4 linked regions of the Drosophila melanogaster genome follow. The protein of the gene in region 2 interacts with the protein of the main gene of each other region in a pairwise test. Each region holds a gene or a part of one and is shown on either strand. Other genes may lie near its edges. The genes, in order: mxt, eIF4E7, eIF4G2 and Thor.

Evidence for each region.
Region 1: the proteins of eIF4E7 (region 2) and mxt interact in a two-hybrid assay, tested with the Drosophila melanogaster proteins (2 studies listed by BioGRID).
Region 3: the proteins of eIF4E7 (region 2) and eIF4G2 interact in a two-hybrid assay, tested with the Drosophila melanogaster proteins (one study listed by BioGRID).
Region 4: the proteins of eIF4E7 (region 2) and Thor interact in a two-hybrid assay, tested with the Drosophila melanogaster proteins (2 studies listed by BioGRID).

What each region holds. Positions count from the first base shown.
Region 1 is NT_033779.5:4,842,040-4,849,070, forward strand, and holds mxt (mextli), read right to left. Parts: upstream 5,257-7,031; 5' UTR 5,200-5,256; exon of another isoform or gene 5,125-5,199; intron 4,726-5,124; exon of another isoform or gene 4,677-4,725; intron 4,312-4,676; exon of another isoform or gene 4,240-4,311; intron 4,178-4,239; 5' UTR 4,005-4,177; coding exon 3,603-4,004; intron 3,537-3,602; coding exon 3,215-3,536; intron 3,120-3,214; coding exon 3,048-3,119; intron 2,734-3,047; coding exon 2,673-2,733; intron 2,608-2,672; coding exon 2,130-2,607; intron 2,073-2,129; coding exon 1,679-2,072; intron 1,620-1,678; coding exon 1,021-1,619; 3' UTR 545-1,020; downstream 1-544. Other genes in the region: CG11927 (uncharacterized protein), read left to right, coding at 5,816-7,031. UniProt on the Drosophila melanogaster protein: Plays a role in promoting translation.
Region 2 is NC_004354.4:1,158,091-1,164,163, forward strand, and holds eIF4E7 (eukaryotic translation initiation factor 4E7), read right to left. Parts: upstream 4,300-6,073; 5' UTR 4,196-4,299; intron 2,043-4,195; 5' UTR 2,016-2,042; coding exon 726-2,015; 3' UTR 509-725; downstream 1-508.
Region 3 is NT_033777.3:23,816,207-23,821,076, forward strand, and holds the start of eIF4G2 (eukaryotic translation initiation factor 4G2), read right to left. Parts: upstream 3,032-4,870; 5' UTR 2,775-3,031; intron 2,614-2,774; exon of another isoform or gene 2,406-2,613; 5' UTR 2,021-2,405; intron 825-2,020; 5' UTR 806-824; coding exon 1-805.
Region 4 is NT_033779.5:3,476,865-3,480,127, forward strand, and holds Thor (thor), read left to right. Parts: upstream 1-1,569; 5' UTR 1,570-1,751; coding exon 1,752-1,896; intron 1,897-2,320; coding exon 2,321-2,529; 3' UTR 2,530-2,748; downstream 2,749-3,263. UniProt on the Drosophila melanogaster protein: Repressor of translation initiation that regulates eIF4E1 activity by preventing its assembly into the eIF4F complex. Hypophosphorylated form competes with eIF4G1 and strongly binds to eIF4E1, leading to repress translation.

The sequences.
Region 1 (7,031 bases), on a different chromosome or scaffold from region 2:
AATTTCTAGGGTTAGTTTGCATATTTTTCAATATTCTTTTTTTTTTGTTTGTTTTGTTTTGGTCGTTTTGAGTTTGCGATTGTTAGATGTGGCCATGGCCAAAAGCATTGAAGCATACTGCAGCTCCGTCTGGGAGCAGGCACTTCACCCCGGGACACTCTATATTGTCAGTTCGAGCCGCTCGATTGATGGCTTTATTCGTCCAGAGTCTCGACCTCATCGGCAGCCACAATGTCTCGCTTGGCGGCCGTCTTAATGCTGGCCAGATACTTATCACCATCGAAGCGCTGGCTCTCATCCTGCAGATCCTGTTGTCGAACAAAGAAATGGTTTAATATCTGATTTCAAAGTAACATTGACACGCAAGCTATCCAGGGATGAACGAACATATATACATACGGAACAGTTTAGTAACTAAGTTAGCCATCTGGAGTGGTGGTTAGGTGGTGATGTTATGATGCTTCGGTGGTAAAACACAAGTTACAATTTATAATTTACAATGTGTGGGGTGTGTGGTGGTGTAAGTTAAACCCAGCCAAGCTTTGTTACGGACTTTGAAAGTCCTGTTTATTAGTTAATATAAATCGTATTGATTACAGATTTGTAAATGTTGGTTTGAATTCGAGAATGTTTGTTTGTTAGCGGTTAAGCGGTTTCAACCGCCTTTCCAGCTTATCCTTAGCGACGACTTAATCTGTTTCACAGCCAAAACACAGATTCTCCCTATAGTTACATTTTAATTTCAATGCATTATATGTATTGTTACCTCTAAGACTAGCGATCGGTTTGGTTTCGATGGTATGTCGTTAATCTAATGACTGGATGATGATAATGATAATGATGTATTGACTTGATTCATTATCAAGTTCTTCACGCTTCACCTTTTCTTAATGATAAGTTATATAAAATTAAAACAGCAAAAATACTGACATGAAAAGAAAAGCCTATCTGTGACTGAGATTCAATAATACGTATTCCGGCTACGTAAAATTAAATTAAATTAAATGAAATTAAATGAAATTACACATAAACGCGGTTATTATTCGATTCTGTTTCGCACAGTGCCAATGAAAACTCATCGTCCTCGCAGTAGCGTTGAAAAATTGCCTTCACTTGTGATGTTTGATAGCTAGACTGGCGATGCTTTCCTTGTGTTGCCACCGATTGACCCACAGTATTAGTTATGATTTGCAATTGCTTGTTATACAGGTTTCGATCGGACACGGCCGATGTTTTGGGAAGGCGACGGTTCTCGCGTTCGGCGAAGATCCCTTTTGATTGCTTGTTAGTGACGGTTAGGGGATTGTTGTCTGCCGACGCATCGACAGCAGCTAGTCCAACGGCGGTGCTGATGATATTTGTGTTCGGGGAGGAGGTTATTGCATTTAAAGCCCACGGATGTGTTATTACTGATGAGTTAGGTGCACTGGCGATGATAGCATCGGGGATGTTCGAAGAGTAAGCCGTACGGCCAAGTGAGCCATCGAACGGCGAAATTACCTTGTTGCGCAGAATCGAGGGCGCTGTCTCCTGCATCTTTTGCCAGTCGGTGGGCAGGGTCCACGAGTGCGGACTCATGGAGTAGTAGAGCAAGTGTTCAATATCGTAAGAAACGCGAGCTGTAATTTAAGTTTAAGCATCAAAGACTTGGTTAAGCATAAAAGGATTGTAATCTTACATGCATTGCTTTTCAAGGAATTGGTGCCTGCCAAATCGTCCAAGTCACCCTTTTCCCGAGCGCCCTTGGTCTCCGGCGTGGACTCCTTGCGCGAAAAGTGGCTGCGACGCGATCTGGCCAGTCCATTCTGATTGCTAGTCGATGATCCTCCATTGCTGGGCTCAGCGAACACCTCGTCGTCGCCTTCACCATTGTTGTTCGCTGACGAGGAAACAACGCAATTCAGTCCAATGCCACTGTCCGTGCCGGGCAGCCAAAATTGCGGCGGCCCGGCTCCGGGAAGCGGAGTCGATGGCGTGGTCACCAGCGAAGTGCCGTCGAAGGCGGCGCCAGCCTCAATGGATGCCAGAAACTCCGAGCTGCTAAAATAGTCATCGAGCACGAGTTTGGCCACCTTGAAATCGCAGGGGATTTAACAAATTTCACAATTGAAAACTTCAACATTACTCACGCGCACTAGTTCGCAGCAGTCGCCGGTGATCTTGATCAGGTGCTGGCCCACGTTGACCGTGAACTTGTATTCACCTACGGAAGCATCGTTTGTGGAATATGAGTGCATTAGCAGCTGTTGATTGGGACGCAAGACTTTACCGGCAGCGGCTGTCGCCTGAGCATGTGCCGCCGCTGCTGCTGCGGCGGCTACTGCGGCGACCTGCTGCTGCTGTTGGTGCTGCAGGTGATGCGTTTGGTGGTGCATCTGCTGCGAGATCTGCTGTGCAGCAGCTGTGGCGGTCATGAAGTTTTGGGCCGAGTTAAAGCTTAGCCGGTTGGCCAAACTGCTTCCGGTTGGCGTTCTTGGTTGCACAATGGCGTCGTCCGAGTTGGACGAGTTAAGCGAGGAGCAGGATCCTCCAACGGCAGGAGCGGGTTCCAGGCGCACCGGCGAGGCGTTCCGACGAATGGTGTCCTCCATAAGTTGTTTGGCATAGCTGTCGTAGAATTAAAACATTTTGACATAAAGGTAAATTAGCTTTAATTTATTTACTTTACTCACTTAATTTTATCCTCAGCTGGACCAGTAATCTGCACCAAACGCTCCTTGGCACCCGGGTTGACTAATGAAAACAAGGCATTCATAATTGTTCTCGAAAAAAGCATTTATATTTATGAAAAATAATTGGGATGCGAAAACATTTAAAAACAAAATGCATATATACAGTATGAAAATATGTGATTTCAAAATGCCTTTAACGATCAATTTTGGCTTAATGTGGTGTCGTTGAATGGACAAAATCTGGAACATGCGTATTTATAATTTCTATTAGTAAATTTTGTAGAAGCCACCGGGCATTAATTGATTTAAATAAGCGTGCCAAATGAAATGGGGGTGCGGTGAGGATCACAATTAAAACCAGCTCTCTGGAGTTACCTCTTTGAAACGATATAATGGTTTCGCTTAGCTCCTCGATCATGTGCACGCGACGCCCCTTGATGCCCATTACTTTTTGGCCACGGGAATGGAGGAATACATTATTGAAAACCATTTCTGTAGATCTGTGTGCTCCAGAACACTCCTCAGCTGATTGAAAAACTTACCTTTGCCGGAGTCAGCATTGCGAATCACGACCTCGTCCTTGCAGTACGTCTTGCCAGGAATCTTGGTCGGTTTGGGGAACTTGCCCGAATTACGAATGACCTCACCGGGCGGCAGCAGCATGTGCTGCTGGTTGGATGTGCCCACGGCCGCAATGGCCGCAGCTTGGGCGGCTGCAGCTGCAGATGCTGCATTGAAGACGGCGGCAGCGGCGGCTGCGGCTCCATCGTTAACGCCACCAACACCGCCGCTGACGCCGAATGTGGGGGAGGTGCTGAAGGCGCCAGGCTGCACGCCGGCATCGTACTGGTATTCCGAAGGCAGCTGCAAAGCAACGATACATATTTGATCGTTTTCCAAAGTGAGATCGATTCTATGTACTCTACTCACCTCCACGTTGGAGATCTGCTGCTTGGACTTGTAGTACGCGATTGTGTCGTCATTGTCCCAGCTCTTGGCGCGCAGCTCGATGAGTTCGAGCAGCTTGAGGCGCGTCGTTATATTCAGCCGTTCGTCCTGCGAAGCGTTGCGGAAAACGACGAAGGCCCGGTCCAGTGTATCCTTGGACACCGCCTCCAGTTGCGGTCCATGCACCCGGAGGTTGTGCAGGAGCAGCGTGATCGATTCCGGCGTGGTGTTGCACGACTGAAGACCGACGGTCACGTTGTCTATCAACTGGATTAGCTCCTCGATCACCAGGTAGCTGTTCTTCAACGACGATCGCGATTGTGTCTTCAACGGGCGTGGCGCCTCAATGTTTTTCACGGCGCGTCCCAGGTGTGTGTGAGCCATTCTCGGGATTCGTTGGATTCGATATCGTCTCGTGAAGAAGTCTTAAGGTTGTCCCGCCTGGTGTCCGGATCTGCTGATTTCAGTCTATATGGTCTGCTAACTTATTCGTTCGTTTAAATGTTGTTGAAGAATTGATCAAAAATGAATCGTAGAAGCTGTTTCCGCACCTCCCCCTGTAAACACAAGAAAGGTTAGTTATCGATCAAATGTATTGTTTACATTAAAACTATTGTACTATTTGGATACATGCTTTCAGCTGCTAGGATGATCAAAGCCGACTATATTGCATTAGAACTTGGGAGTAATGGCCGAGAGCATGGACAACCAAAAGGTTTCTTAGGATATGGAGATTGGCCTCGTTTCCGACCGAATCTCGAATATTGCGACGCAAAGCTCTCGTATATCTTAACGATGTGCACGTTTGATAAGCGGCTTTAGCTGATAACACCGCGATTTATCTATAGTTTAGTGGCCAAATTAACCCATTGGCGCCTTCTGAGCTTCTGGCTTCTGCTCAGTTAATCGGTGCGAAGTTCCAAAAGCAAAATATGTAAATAATTGATGAAAATTGTTGGCATATATCGAATGGGAACGACAAACGGACGACCATTTGTGTTATTTCAGTTCGACTTTCGCTCCATGCGAACAACTCATTTCTTTTTTAAATATCACTTACTGCCGCTGCAGCAACAGCAGCAGCAGCAACAACAACAAGAACAAACAAACATGGGCAACTAAAACACAGCTAACAGAAATATTACAAAAAACTGAAATTGTCCGTGGGAGGGAGAAAGAGAGAGGCGATCGCTCTATTGAATCATATGTCGAGAATAGCAACAACAAGAATGGCCTCTGCCGACGTCGACGATGGCAGCGCAGTTGACGACCGTGTTGGGCGTAGAACAAAAAGGAAGTTAACTTTCAGGAAACAGGGTCTATATATCCATATATTGCATCCGTTTTCGGCCAAAATTCTCTGTGAAATTGAGTAATATTTTAATGGCACTGGCCGCTTTTCGTTAAAATAAGCAAACTACGCGTTTTGCTGGCGACCGACTTTGCACTCTCGTTCTAGTTTCAACACTTTTGATGTTTAGTCTTCGTCGCGCTTATTATTTACTTTAATGGCCGATTGAAACGTCTCTTAAAACGGTGTATTTTGGATCGTAATTTCCAATAAATTACTAGAGCTTACCAAAACCAAAATCTCTGCGACTGCGACTAAAATCGTTTTTTACGGTGGGTGTTGCCACCTGATCGAACACGTTAGATTTTAGAGATGCGCCACAGCTATCCAGACCAGTTCACGTAAAGCGCAGTCAAAAAGCTCACATCAATTTCGCATCACAGATGTGTTCGTATTAAAATTTAAATTTAAATATGAAATAAATGTTACGAAATCAGACACTTATCGCTGATAACCAACAATTCACTATGGTATCTGGACGCTGGGCAATTACTATTCCCCGCCGGTTGTGTCTGCATGGGATCGAAAATGTTAAATATATATTATATTACGTTGGGCATTAATATATCGCTTACTAGTTAACAAATGAAGATTTACTGGTATAGCGGAAAGTTTAGAGAATACATTTGGAAACTACTGTTCTTTTTTAAGAACAACAGGACTCTTAAGAAAATACTTCAGGGGAAACTCCCTAAAATTTTAAGCACGAAAATATCGATAGAAAACATCGGCTGTTCCTTCAATTTGTTGTTATTGAAATTTTTGTTTGCCATCGCTAAGCAAAACTCAAATAAAATTAAGTTGATATATTTATAAAGTGTATTCCCACTCTCTAAGGTGCGAGATGTCTGAAAACGGGGACGTGGAGGCGGCACCAGAGGATTCCAAGGAAGTCGTTCCGGAGTCCGGCAAAGATGAGCCTGAAACTAAGCCGCTGAAAATGTCGTTTGCAGATTGGAAGAAATGCAAGGATGCACTGAAACCGGATACCAAAAGCGGACTACAACGGAGCAACAATAACAATAGTAACAACAACAACAATAACAACAACGGCAACGGACGTAAACATTGGTCTTCGAATAGCAACAATGCCTTTCATGGAGGCGGAGGTCCGCAAAGCTACCAGGACAGGAACTATCCTCCGATGAATCGACCGCCTCCACTTCCTATGCAGCTGATGAACATGGGCTTTGGAGGCAATTTTGGGCCTGGACCCGGACAATGCGGTCCCCCCATGGGGCCAATGGGACCAGGAGGACCTCGCGGTCCCATAAGCAATATGGGTCCCTGTGGTCCCATGAGCAGTATGGGCCCCGGTGGTCCAGTGGGCTTTGGAGGACCACGTGGTTCTGGGCCCCGCCGGAATCACAATCACCGACCTCTGCAGCCGCCTCCGTTCTGGGAGGACATGATGTCGCCACAACATAGACCACCACCAATCCAACCGCCCATGCCCAAGTGCCCCAGCTTGTGGAATCTGGTACCCAAGGAGCAGGGAGCACAAAACAATCGCAGCAATCCAAACCAGAATAACAAGAAATTCAAGGTAAACCATCGCGGCAACAGTGACAAAGATACGAGGCTTATGCCTCCGCCCCCACCGCCAAGCAATGGCAACAATTCGCCGTCAAACGGGGAAGCGCAGCCCTCCAAGAAGCCCAAGCGCTGCGGCACATTTGTCCAGGTCAATGGCCAATGGATACAGAAGCCAGAGGCACCACCGCCGCTCGAGGATGCACCGCCTGGTACGAAGGAGGAGCGCCAGCGCCAGTGGAAGGAGTACCGTATGGCCATGAAGCCCTTTAAAAACCGTGAGTTCCACAACTGGAAGCGAACGGTGCAGCGTTTGGGGAAGCTGCCGCGCGACCAGCTGGACGAGCAGCAACTGGAACGACTACAGAAGGCCGAGGAGTATATAGTTGCGCACAAGGCGATGCTGACGGTGAAGCATGCAGAGCGCTGGGTGGAGCAGGACAAGAATGAAAAGGGCCAAGTGTTCGTGCGCAAGTCATCCAGCATCGGCTCGTGGGACATGTCCAAGGAGAGGCCGCCGAATGGTT
Region 2 (6,073 bases):
GGCACAGAAAATACATTAAGCACATTAAAGCCCGTCAAATGGAAAAGTGGCCAAGAACAGCAACAAAAGGAATTCAGTGCCAGGAGAACGCACCTGCCTCCACTCCAACATCATTGGCTCCCCTTACGTGGTCACCCAAAGCAGTCACAATAAAATGCCAACTGCCAATAAATGCCAATAAATCAAACAATTGAGCACGGCCAAGTTGTGTGACGCCGTGCGCCAAATAAGTCCAACGGCCAATGTCCAATGTCCAAATGTCCCATGTCCGCTGACCGATGTGAAAGCGAACAAAAAGCTAGCAACCAACTTCTGAATGCCCGCCCCAATGGTTAGCAGTGGAGCAGACAAAGAACATCCAATACACCGATTGGAACTCAGGAATCGAGACAAACCATGTTGCATGTTCTTGGAATCGGGTTAAATTAGTAAAGAAGGTGCATAGTTAGAAACATTTCGCAGTCTCTCTCCAACACTCTCCAATTTCACACTTTAAAACAAACAACTTCTTGACCAAATAGTTATGTATTTATTTCGTCGCTCTATAGGAGCAACATTCAAATTTTTATGTACAACGTGTACGTGTACGGATGGTTTGACTAGAGATTTGGAACCCAACTAACTATCGATCGATGGCTGATCACACCTGCTTGACATTTCAAGTTCTTGTGAAAAAATACCGAAAATACTGAAAATGTTTCGATTCGCAATTGTCTGATGAGAACCTATACAGTGTATATTCTCTTCACAGTTGATCCCAGTTTATCCTTGGAGTCCTTGTGCAACTGATACTCCAGCACGTATATGTTGTCCATGCGTAGAACCTTGCGTAAAATGCGTCCAATTTCAAGGACTGTAGTCTGATTTCCCCCGTCAGCGTTCCAAATAGAGATCTTGTTCGACTTTCCGCGAATATTGACCACAACGCCACAAAGATCGTCCGAGTGCTTACAGGCCTCTCCAATCAGACAGAGCATGGCGTCCATCCAGAAACTGTCCAGAGCCATCTTGGCGCTCTTGGTCAAGTTGATGACCCAGCGTCCTCCATTGACATTGGCCTCATCCTCCCACATGGGTCGAATGCCCTTCTTGAACAGGGAGTAGTCACTGCCCAGCATAAGCTCGGATGGGGGCTTGATGTGAGTGATCAGGCTCCAAAACTTCTCCACGGTATCGAAGCTTGTAACCTTGTGCAGCATTTCTTCCCAACTTTTATTTCGATCGTTCTCTAGATACCACAGAGTCCAGCAGTTGTTGAGTGGATGTTGAGGATCCTCGACCTCCAAAAGTTCGGCGTTCTCCGCCGCGATGGTCAGATCATCATCACATTTATTGTTCAGTGACAGAAATTCTAGTGAATTGTCAAAAGCGACCACCGCATCTTCTTTTTTGGCCGGTGGACATGTGTTCTGTTTAATCCTGGGCTCGAGCCTCAAGCTCAAAAGCTTCTGCTCGGATAACCGCATTAGGACCTTCTGCCCTAAAAGATTTTCTTGTGTGATTATCTTTCCCTGCATATTCTTTTCGATTAGCTTCTTGTCCTGCAGATCCTTGTCGAGCACATTCTTCCTATATTGTGCACTAGTCGACTGCTCCTGTTCAGGGCTATTTTCTTTCTGCTGGACCATCTGTTTTCCTTGGCCTTTACCCTTCTCATTGTCATCATTTCCCGTCGACTTTCCATCTTTGCCCGGATTGTTGCTTCGACTGCTCTTGCTCGTCTGACTGGGAGTGCGTGGCGCATTCTTTTGATTCTTCTTGCCCTTCCGGTTCCCCTTGCCACGTTTTTGGGGCTCTGATGGCGACGTTTTGTTTGGATCATTCATCGGTTCTTGGGTCTTTTCTGGTTGAGTATCTTCAGTGGATTGAGGAGCTGCAGCAGGCTGGGTAACATCAGTTGGTGACTCCACTTTTTGGGGACCTTGTGTGGGATATTCATTGTTGTTCGCACAGCTTTTAAACATTGTTCTCGGATTGGCAAAGTCCCTCATCCTGTAAAAGCTGTTGGGAAGCATGGCGGCTTTGTTCGAGGTCAGCAACGGCTGTAGAGTTATACGGAAATGGCGAGGTTAGCGCTATGTTTAAACAAACAAATCTAACAAAAAAAAGGGTTAATATAATGGCGATTTTTGGGATCTTTCATTTTCGTAGCTTCCTATACAATTATATATATGATGAATCCACAAAGCCAAGCCAAACGCTCTTTCTGAACTTCCGACTAATGAGGCAAACAAGCCAACATGCCCCTTTTCTCTAAGACGTGAGCTGGAAATTTCTTCTTTGGAAGCACGAAAGGAAAAACTGACCAAGACCAAGGGACGTGTGCAGAAGTTGGCAACTTTAGCAACAAATATTTACACACCCCCCGAACTGAATGATTTGAGTGGGTGCAAAACCCCAAACACACGGGTGTAAGGTAACACAGCACGCATTTCTTATTAGCTGGGTCAAGTTGTGCTTGCCCCTTGGAAATAACCGAGTAAAAGCGTTTTTCACACGCCAAAATCTCCGATAGAAAAGATTACGATGCCTTGGTATTTACGCATCTTTTAAAATCATTAAAAATTCTCTACATTTACGATATGCAGCGGACGAAGGAATCTTTATGTAATGGCATCACAAAAGTAAACCACCAGGAGAACAAACTTTGATTTGACTCTGGCTGCCATAAGTTAAAATGGGGTCAAAAGGACTCGAATTTATGAGTGAGAAAAAATCAATCAGAAATTGGAATCAGAAACAGAATCCAAGGCGTGGCAAATGTTTGAGCGGACTTGGACTTTGAGCGAGTGTTGTGCTTTCACGCTTTTGGCAAGCAGTTTATGGCCATTTTATTTGACCCGATTTTGTTTTAATGGAATATCTGTGCCTTAACCATGGACTTCATATGTACATTTGTATCACTTGGCATGGGCTAAGAACTGTACAGATATGGGAATCTCCTTTCACTTCTGCCATACAAATTAGGGAAACAACAAAGGCAACACATTGCAGGAGGTTTTCCTTCTTAAAAGCCGTTTAGGGATCTCATACCCGACATTTCCAAATGTTCCTCTTTTAACTTAAATGACATCAAAATGAAAAGCAGGGCCAAAACAGAAACAGAAACTACAAGACGTGCGGGTGCACTTAGCGAAAGTATTACAGAGATCAACTAAATTTTATCGCGACAGTAGTTTAGATTATAGCATGTAATGAACTGCTTTTGAATCTTTATGTCACTGTACTTTGGCGATCTAGATTCATTTCAATGAATAATTTACTTATGGGAGTAGTCGAAAGCCACAATAGAAGGCACCTTGGATTTCTCTCAGTTCCCGCAAAGCAGTTTCGCCCTTCTCAGTTCCTATCGATGCAATTTTTTATTTGGCCCGATGCGATGTAAATATTGCATTAGACGGGGCCAAAGTGTTGGGCAAATTTATTGGCAGCACATAAATCGAGGACTCGCCCTCAACGGGTCGGTTGTCGTCTGTTGAAAAAGTAAATGTTCTAAAGGTAAATATGCACACAGCGAGGAAGTGGCACTCATTCAGTTGAACGTTGGAAGTGGGAAGGAAGTTGAAGGAAGGTGGACTACTCTACATTGGCATCTGTGCTCGCCTTCTGTGACCTATGACCTGTGAGCCATCGTCGCTGGCTGAAATGCCGAAATGTTGAAATGTTCAAATGCCGGCTGCTGACTGCTAGCTGCCTCGAAAAACTGATGAAAATGCAAAAATGTTGTTCCCAGTCCTTGCCTTTCCCCTCGGCTGCTATGCCAATTTTAATTAACAAAAAACATGAGCAGCTCCCTGTTGCGTTGTGTGTGTTTTGTTTAGCTCTGTTTTGTTTTGTTTTGTTTAGTTTAGTTCAGCTCTGTTCTGTTTTGTTTTGTTTGGCTAGTTTGAACTTTGTTCCTCGTATTCTTGTATGCCGGTTGCACTAGACGGGTGATGGGGTTAAGCAGGGGTAGCTCCATCCCCACTACCGTCAATCCGCTCAATTGCTCTAGCCCAACTTTTTGCATACTTTCGGGGATTCCCAGTAATCGGCGGCAGCCAATGAAATCTAAGCTGACCGACAGACAAGACATACTACATACGACAAGGAACACACTACCTTATTTGTAAACGAAGATGACGAAGGAGGAGAAACCCAACGAACAGTTCTAATGCCATAATTAATCACTACGAATTGGGTCTACACAACTTACCTAACGCACTGCGAATATCCGAATACCGCTTAGGTCAATCAAAATATATCAACAAATAAATCGCAATGGTTTTGTAAATAAAATTTGACTAAAACCCGGTTGTTCTCACAACGAAGTGTCGTCCAAAACTGATTTATATTTCTAGACTTACTTTGCTCTGAAAAATGACTTTTGGTAACAAAAGTCCGGTCCCACTTCGGTACTATTCTGCATTTTTTCCCATCACTGGGATCGGATTCGCGAGTATATGGCCTAATCCGAACTCCACTAAGCGCTCCTGGATTACAGCTAAAGCATTTAATTAAAAAATTGCATTGCTTTTGTTTTTGCGCGCTGCCATAATTTGCATGCCAACAACACTATGGCCTGCCTGTTTGCTCATATCATTAATTCGCAATTTGGCCAAATAATAATGAATATTTTCATCTTGTGTCGCTTTTTGCCCTGTTCAGTTCAGTTCAGTTAGCTCTGAGCGTGTTTTTGTTCACATTTGTATATTTGTTCATGTCCGTTCAGACATTCGCATTCAAATGTTTTGCGTTTTGTGTTCTTGTGCAATGCAATTAATTAGAAGTGGATAAATGGTGCATGAGTGTGCGCAAATTAAATTAAATTCTATGTGCATTTTTGCATTTTGCCAGCGAATGAATCGCTCTGAAAAAGTCATTTGGAGTTGAAATGCAAACACGGCATTCTGAAATCATCAAGCATTATGAGAATGCATAAACTGAAATTGAACCATAAACGCATGCCCCCCGCAAGCGGATTGCGGGTATTATCATTATGAAATGCTAAATCGTGTAAAATATTTAAAGAGTCGTTAGCAGTTGCATTACGCAAAAAAGCAACACATCAAATACAAACATCCCAATGCATCAAAAAGGCAATCAGAGGGCGGTTGTGGCGTCGGTGAGTCCACCTCCAACCCGACCAACAGTTCGTGGCCGACTGAAGCAAACGACAAGGATTTCCCAGGACCTGCTCGATCGAGCAACAGAGGGACAGGCAACTTAACAGACAACCGTGGAAACTTAACAGCTGTTGTAGGCAACTCATAGACGGAATCATGAAGAATATTGTGCCAAAATACAGCATTTTCTTTTATTGCTTGCCCAAATAATCACATGATAAACCCACAAAGAAGCCAGATATCAGTAATTTAAATAACTTTGGCACAGCTTAAAAGCCATAAATACATGCATACAGCGTTACACGCACTTGCACTTGCGGTGCATATAATAAGCCTCAGTTTTTGGAAAATCCCTCGCCTTCACACATACCACGAACTTGGGATCTGTGGATGGGACTATTGCCATCAATAGCCTGGCAGAGGGCTATCAATGAAAATCAATGTTCATCATATCGGGGCCGCACTTCACTGAAGGCAATCGTCTGTTTTTTCTGGCCAGGAGCTCTTTCAGCGGAAACGAATGCATTTCCTCGCGGATCCATTCCAATCGCTGCTCCCAAGAAGGCACTAAAATGGTAGGTGGGCTCCTTAAATGTACATTCTGATATTGACACACTTTTAATACACTCTGACCCCAGCGAAAGCTTTTCCTAATTGGAAGTTTTTCTTACTTTGCCTCCGATCTACGAGTAGTTCATCAAATATATCCACATTCGACCGCCTCTGAAGCCGGGCAGCACCATCGTAGCTGTCCAAAAGGAGTCCCAAAAGGAGGAGTAACTTGATGAAAATTATCACGAACAAAACGCGGAACAGGCGTGTGTAGCTAGCCGACATATCGAATTTTGAATGATTCGGAACATACCGTCAAAAGCCAGAGTCACCGCGGCCTCGACATCTGTTCAAAACTGGTGGCGAAATGTTTTCTTTATCCGTCGACTTGGAGCTGTGACCTTATCGATGGAAAC
Region 3 (4,870 bases), on a different chromosome or scaffold from region 2:
AGTAAGCTAGTGTCGGCGTTTGAGCAGCTCCCGGTGCCCCGCCTGGACCTTGTTGTTGAGCAGTGGGAGGAAGCTGTTTCTGTTGTGGAGGAGGTGGCGCAGCCGCATAGAATGAAGCTCCAGCCGCTCCGTTAGTGGGAAAGGTCACAGCTGGCTGCATGCCCATCAGAGGTCCGGTCTGATTAATTGGTATATAGGTGGCGGAAATGTAGGGTCCACCCGCATTTCCGCCGGCAGGTGCGATCAGGCCAGCTGATTGTTGAAAGTGGGGTGGTAGAGTTGGGTTGCTCAGGGCACGAGGCATGTTTGACCCCGGCGCCACGCCATTTGCTCCACCATGGTGACCACCAGTAAGAGGATGTCCCAACGTGTTGGAACTGGCGGCGGCGCTCAGTTGGAGGGTAGCGCCGCCGCCGTTGGCACTGTTGTTAACCGCCGCGGAATGCGCGGCGTAGGACGGCTGGGTATTGTAGAAGATGACCGGCTGGTGGTGCGCCTGGGCCTGGGCTTGCACCTGCTGCTGTTGTTGCTGTTGGATGTGTTGCTGAAGATGAGCGGCGGCGACGGCTGCTTGTTGTTGGTGTTGCTGCTGCTGCTGTTGCAGTAAGTGCTGCTGCTGGTGGTGGTGCAGGCCGCTGTGGTTCGGGACGAACACTGCGTGGGACTGCTGCTGCTCCTGCTGTTGCTGGAGGTGATGGTGGTGCGAGTGCGTCGCCTGGTGATGCTGGGCTTGATGGTTGTGGTTCTGCTGATGTGTCGACTGTGGCCTGGTTCCCTTCCCACCCCCTCCCTGTTGAGGGAACATAGGAGGACCTTCGAAGGATCTGCACACGCATACAATCGCACCGTCACACGCACAGGCACACACGGAGAGTTAGGAAAACCGCGGCCAGAGCAAAACAGATGTACAAATCGTAATGTTAGTAAGATGGAAATGAAAGTGAAAATGGAGTTGGCGATGTGGAAAATGCTTGGCGTATTAGGTTTTCAGTCAAAGCCGTGAGTACATGCGAATGAGAGTTAAATCAAACGTGTGCAAAAGCAACCAAAAATGATCATGCAAATTATGTGTTTACATCTTATGACTAAGGGCTATTTTACAAATGCACTCCCTCTTTTACCCTTTTCTTTATTCTTTAATATTTCAATCAATTGAGCTCTTTAATTGGAATGTGGTGTATGATGTCACTCGCGGGGCGTGTATACATCCAAAATGCTTTCGAAGATGGCTCGACACCTTATCGCGCCGGTTTTATCAATGGACTAGTCACTTGCGCAGCCTAAATACTTGTACATAGGTGACACACGGTAACAAGTGGCGCTATTAGTCAGTACTGGCCTTAAAGCGGAACAAAACAAAGGCAGCCACAAAGAAGCAGCTGCCAGCGAGCGTAGGAGGTGAGCTATGGGCTGCTGTCGTCTTTATGGCTACAACCAGTTTGGCATTCCGTCAGCACTTCCATCGGCACAGTGGAGACCGCAAGAACTAGATCACTTAAAACTGTTTACGATATGATTTCTTTTAGTTATAATACTACCAAACGGAATTTCATTGTTGTTTTGCTAAGCAAGCGTTCAATGCTGATTGATAAGAATATGAAGACAAACATTGGCCAATATTCACTGTGGTGTTCTCTTTGGAGCTCTCTGCTGGCCTAGAAAAACCAACTCCGCTGCAGTTTGCGGCCAAGCACCTTCAAGCCAGAAGAAAACCAGTTTTCCAGCAGACGAAGTACGTGCATGGCTCTTTTCACTCCATGGCGAGGAAAACGAAAACCTGGCTGGCAGATAGGCTCACTTGTTTCATGTTTGTTTGTAAACAAAACCAGTTGGAGTGTGTGGGTGCTGCTCTAAATGGGATCGCGATCGCTTATTGGGAGTGCATTCGTACTGGAGGCAGTGTGTTATAGTAGTAGTAGTGTGTTATTAAACTAATAAACAAACAATTAATGTAAATTGCGTGAAAAAGCAAGCAAATACTAGAATGGGAGTAAGTTGTAAGTCAGATTTCGAAACTTACCGCTTCCTGTGCTTCGATTGGTAGATGTGATGATTATAAGGGTATTCGATTTATCCTATTTCTTAGTTCCTAAGGTAGACCTGCCTTTAAGCCTATCCGGCTTCCCTTGACACCTGGTCAAGCTCTACGCCTCCTCCTGCTGCTGCTTATTTGCTCCTCCGTTCCTTTTTCCTATTTCTCGTGGAAACTCCTCGTCTTTGTGGTTGTTGGCTCTATCCGGAATACTACAATAGCTCAGATATTCCATGTATAAAAATACTCCAATTCACTGTGATGCACATGCACATCTGCATTTGTGCAGACGGACGAGGGGCACGTACACGTACATGCGTACAAATATACAAAATAACGTACGGCTAGTGCTAAAATTTCACGGTAATTTGTTCTGTAATTAAAGGCGTTAGAGGAAGTTAAAACGTATGCTTAAATTTTGCAATTGCGAGGAATCAAAATTACAATATGATGAATATGAACACCAAAGCAGCGCCTGCTACGAATTTATTCCCTCTCCTTGTCCAGCTGAGCAGCCTCAGCCCCGGATTGAGAATGAGAAATGGGCAGCCAAGTGCCAATTCGTAATTTGACACTAATGGCAAGGGGACTTTTTGTAGGTTTTTAACCTTTTTCAGATTTTCAGGTAATACTTTTCCCCGAAAAGGCGAGGCGTTGGTTTATGTTTTTTTACCGTTTTGACTTTTTGCCGTTCGCTCTTTTTTTGCGCTCTCTCTGTCTCTGTCTGGCCGCCAGTACTTACCGTTCTGCTCCTGCTCGCTAGCACGCTCTCTCGCTCGCACTCCACACACAAAACTGAGGAAGGAAACAAAAAAAAATGCAGTTCCACGCGGGGAACACGCCAAAAAGTTGCTCTGGCACTGCGCCTTTACATTAGTGCATCGTCTGCTTCACCTCGTTATGTATACACGGCTCACTATCTGTTACAAACAATTTTGTAATGTAAATAGTCTGCAGAAACACGTCCGTTTCGTTTGATGAAATAAGAGTGACCGTTGCACGTAGGGATGGAACATAACTCGATGGCGGCAGCATCGATGTCTACGCAGCGAATATCGATTGTGAAAGTTCCAGAAATATCCCGCAGGAATATTATACATTTTAGTGCGTCCTCAAACCGGGGTGGAGAACTTGGATTCAAGCTTGGCGCGTAATATTTTGAACGTTCTTCATCATAAGAATAATCATTCTTTCGAAATAGAAAAATAGGCCTTATGCAGGTGTTATAATAACAATTATTATATAATGCGCATTGTGGTGCATGACGCAGAATATCATATAAATTCCACACATATTTCGCTGTTATTATTGTTTATTCTAACTTTACATTTTAATTTGAATGATATATTCATAATTTACGCATTCGTAGGACAGCATATGCGCAGAATCCTGTTTCCATTCCATTCGCAACTTCCGGATTGCCTCCCCTTAATGCTCTTAGACTACCCCTCGTGCAGAAATTGCAGTGTTTACGCGCTTGTAGTAAAAGTTTTGCTCTTTCTGTTTTGCCGGATGCGCAACGCCCTCCACTTCCCACATAATCCTTTACTCTGCGCCCTCACCTCCCTCTAGTATCCGTTTTTCCAATGCTATACCCTTCTCTACTTATTACTCCTTATCTCAGTATACACTATGGCCAAAACTTTAAAGTAAAACGAGTGCAAGAATGAACTCGGAGCCTTATTGCAGCCTAAAAAAATTATATACACATAGAGCCCACAAACAGAGTCTGAAGGGATTATTTGGTGGTTGAAAATGCAAAAAGACTAGACCGCAAATGCAAATATTTTAACTTGGCACAACGAAACCGCATACGGACTGTCCGTATTTTGCATTTTTTTTTTTCCATTTCAGTTGTGAAGTCATTTGCAATGCTTGTTTTCCTGTGCGTACTGTCATGTTTTTGTGGCCTTTGCGGTTGCACTAAAGATAGTGTGAGGACAACAGATGAGTAAATGGACGAGGCTCTTACTTTTTTTCAATAATTTTGCTCTCAGCACAAACATTTTGAATATAACGGTCGCTGAGTGCGCTACCTGAGCGGCAGGTTTTGACAATACAATTCGAAAATGAAATTGCAACACTTTCCGAAATTTGGATCAAAAAGATACGATTTTTAAAGTTTTATTTAAATTTTATACATTTTTCAAAGATAATATCGTCTTACATCTTATTAATTTATTTAAAAGTATACTTATTAATTGAATCCCCCTTAAAAAAAAAGCCTCTGCTTTTTGGTATATTTTGAACCCATAATGATTTAATTTGGTATTTCTTTCAGCACCGCATGGTATCTTTCGGGGACGCGAGTGCAGCCACACCAAAAGCGAATTCCTTTACTCCCGCTGCGGTCACACTAAGTCCGAAGCTTGATTCGCCCTGACGCGCGTAACGCTTTTTTCCCGCATCACTTTCCTCCACTTTGGCGCTGAAAAATTCTGCACAACAAGAAGAGAATGCACCAAACTGAAATTGCAACCGACTGCGACTACTGCACCTGAGCCGGTTACGAAATCAACTCTTATATTACTCATATAATTTTGGCATCCATGTAGAAACGAATAAAAATAGTGCGCGAACTGAAAACCCGTTAAAACGAGAATGGGCATAGCCCAAAATAAAACTTTTTCGTTTCTTTTTTACCGTTTATTTAACACAATCAATTAAAATAAAACCAAACACAAGATTTACTCAAAGTAAATCGCGTATAAGCTCGACTACCATAAATGTTAATGTGAAAATTGTGCAATAATTAGAGAAATTTCTAAAAGAAATTCATAAGTGCGGTATTCGTAAATTGCATTGTTTGCAAATGCAAAAAGCAAATGTTATGCAACT
Region 4 (3,263 bases), on a different chromosome or scaffold from region 2:
TTCTGGCTCCCTTGTTTACCGTTTACTACTTTGGGGGTCAGTTGGCACCCAGCTAACTCCCACCCCCATCTAGTGTAATTGATGGATTTGGGTCATGCTTTCCCCAATTCAAATATGCTCCTCGTCACATGGAAATCTACTTTCAAGGTCTGTCAAGCTTCCCCATTTAGCCATCATAAATATTAGCACGCTTAAGTATCGACCTTGTGCAGATTTCTAGGTGGGCGCCATCCCCTGTCCCACATCGAGATCATGATCGCCGCAGATCAACACACGTGGCCACCTTTTGTCAACCCCATATCCCTCGGAATGGCCCGTGGCCAATATCCGAATTACGTCGAATCGTGGGCGCCAACGTAGGCAAAAGTTCCTGTAGCACTATTTACATGCGTCCAACGATTAAATATCGTCAACATCGCCCCCGCATAGCTAAAACCGCTCGTGCCGCTGCTTGGATCCACCCTATGCTTGCTGCGATCAGTGGGGCATATTAGTTTGATTCCAAACAAGATATTCCACCTCAAAGAACTTGGGAACTAATAAGGGTTCGATCACCAAATTTGGTGATATGATATATGTATTTCTTTAGATATGTGCGCTAATATTAAACGGCTAAGAAGTCAATGTGCCAAAGAAAAGATATTAAATATGTATGTTTCATATCAGTCAAGTTAAATTTTGATATGAGCTAAGCGTACTTTTGGATTGTGCACTCCTAAATATAGAAATCACGCTAAAATTGCATATCTAAGTAAATAAAGCAAGTAAGTTATGTAAGACGTGTATCTTTTCGTGATAATTATTTCAAAACGGCTCGTGCCAGATAATAATGAACACTTTCCGCCTGAAAAAAAGTGAAATGCTGGGTATCTTTTAGCCCATAAAAACCTGCAATATCGTTGCTCAAATTGCTATGCTCCGCGAGTTCGCACATGCATAGAAGGCACTCATAGCCTACGTCACGATTGCCGGCGACGTGTCTTTATGCTAATTAATGGTATTTCGCGAAAACGAGTGCAAAATAATGGCCCCATGGAGAGAGCGGCAGTACTTCACGAAATTCTGCGGAACACCTCTTGACTCCCAGACAGCCATAGATAAGATCCCAATTGCACCTGAGTCATCATCATTTCCCTAGCAAGATCGACAATAGACTTGGTTTTTAGAAAAGAATGCGATTGGCGTTTAGTGCTGTTGGCTAACTTGTTTACCAATAATATTGCCGTGCATTAAACAATAACAAATGACCAAAGATAAACAAGAGCTCAAGGCGAGAAGCCCCTCAAGACAGCCCCCCACCATCGCTACACCCCTTATCATCTAGAACCTCCGAGGTGTGCAGGCTGCAACAAAAATAAGAACAATAGGGGAATATATTAGAATACGGCAATAACAACAAGAACCAGCCGGTTTGTCATAAACTACGCAGAAAATACACCAGATAAAAACAAAAAACATCAGCCGACCAAGCAGAATAATCAGGCGAGAGAGCAGGCGAAAGAGCGAGAAGAGAGCGAGAGAGAGTAAGAATGGGGGGGTATAAATAGAGCCACACTTCGTAATACCGCCAGCAATCGCCTAGCGAACAGCCAACGGTGAACACATAGCAGCCACACAAGCTCTATAGCTGATACAAGCAACGAAATACAAACAACGCAGTTTGTGTAAACAATCAAATTGTCGCAGCCATATCGAGTGTGCTTACACGTCCAGCGGAAAGTTTTCGAAACCAATCCAATCAATCAGCTAAGATGTCCGCTTCACCCACCGCCCGTCAAGCCATCACCCAGGCCCTGCCCATGATCACCAGGAAGGTTGTCATCTCGGATCCGATCCAGATGCCCGAGGTGTACTCCTCGACGCCCGGCGGAACCCTCTACTCCACCACTCCTGGAGGTAAGTTTCGAAAATTGGAAGCTGAGACTACATCGAGTATTATTAAGTTCCTTCCGGAAAGTGGAGTGATTTTCTTATCATTAGATATGATATCAAGATGAAATTAATCAACATATTTCGAAAACATAAACAAGTATACCGTTTCTTTCCTTTGCTCAAACAACAAACAAGCTTTTGTTTGAGTTGTGATACATTATTTTTGTAAAACTCACTCACCATTTTTTGGCTGATGAAACTGGGCCATCTCGCCGAGTCAGTCAGTTGGAAGATAATCCCGAGCACATGTTCCACAGTTCGTGACTCAGAGTAGCGCGGCAAAGAAGCGTTTACTCAGCTGGCTTATCAGTGGGGAACTTTGAATACCTTTCTGATGCAACGCAGACCACCTTGACTAATAAAAATTTCCGCTTTCCTATAATTCCAGGCACCAAACTTATCTACGAGCGGGCTTTCATGAAGAATCTCCGTGGCTCCCCATTGAGCCAAACTCCGCCGTCCAACGTGCCCAGTTGCTTGCTGAGGGGAACTCCGCGTACTCCCTTCCGCAAGTGCGTGCCCGTCCCCACGGAACTGATCAAGCAGACCAAGTCGCTGAAGATTGAGGACCAGGAACAGTTCCAACTGGATCTGTAGGGGGTGTGGCGTGTACACCGCCATGCAGCAACTGCCAAATCCAACTAGTTCTTAGATGCACCCACTAAAACCGATCTTATAAGCTTAGTGTACCCATTAACTAGATGCTAAGTTCTTAGTTCTTCCACCTTGTTTGTTCTCTCGGTCATATTGACCCCGTTACCTTGTAAAATCGTAGATCTTAAGTAAAATGCAATAAAAAAAAGGCACACATTATTTAAAAGAGAACCACACCTTCCATTGGGATTCAGTAGCTGCCAATTTACAATTATAAATTTTAATTTATGTTTGAGAAATTCAGTGCCAAATTACTTTCTTTATCGGCAATTCAACCTTGGCAGGCCACGCGTTATGTGATAGAACACTTTCCACTTCACCTTGAGTCAGTTTCGGTTTAGTAGTATTTTCGGCAGTTTGTTGAACTGTTTGAACTGTTTACGAAGAAATTTAGCGAAAGGGGGCTTTTTGGGGGGCGGTACACATGTTAGACAGCTGGAAATACCGGCCGGCTTTTTAGTTAGCCAGTCAGTCAGTGGCCCCAGCAGCGCGTGTCCCACTTATTGCAAAGATATGCATACATATTTATAATGTATCCAAAAACCGGCAAACAAACGCCACAAAAAAATAGATCTTTAAGAAACTGCGCAGTTGGGAAACGACCTCGCCTTTGGCCCCCGCCCCGCCCTTTACCATTTTTCTTATATATACAAAAGTAGTGTGCTGAGCACATGTTC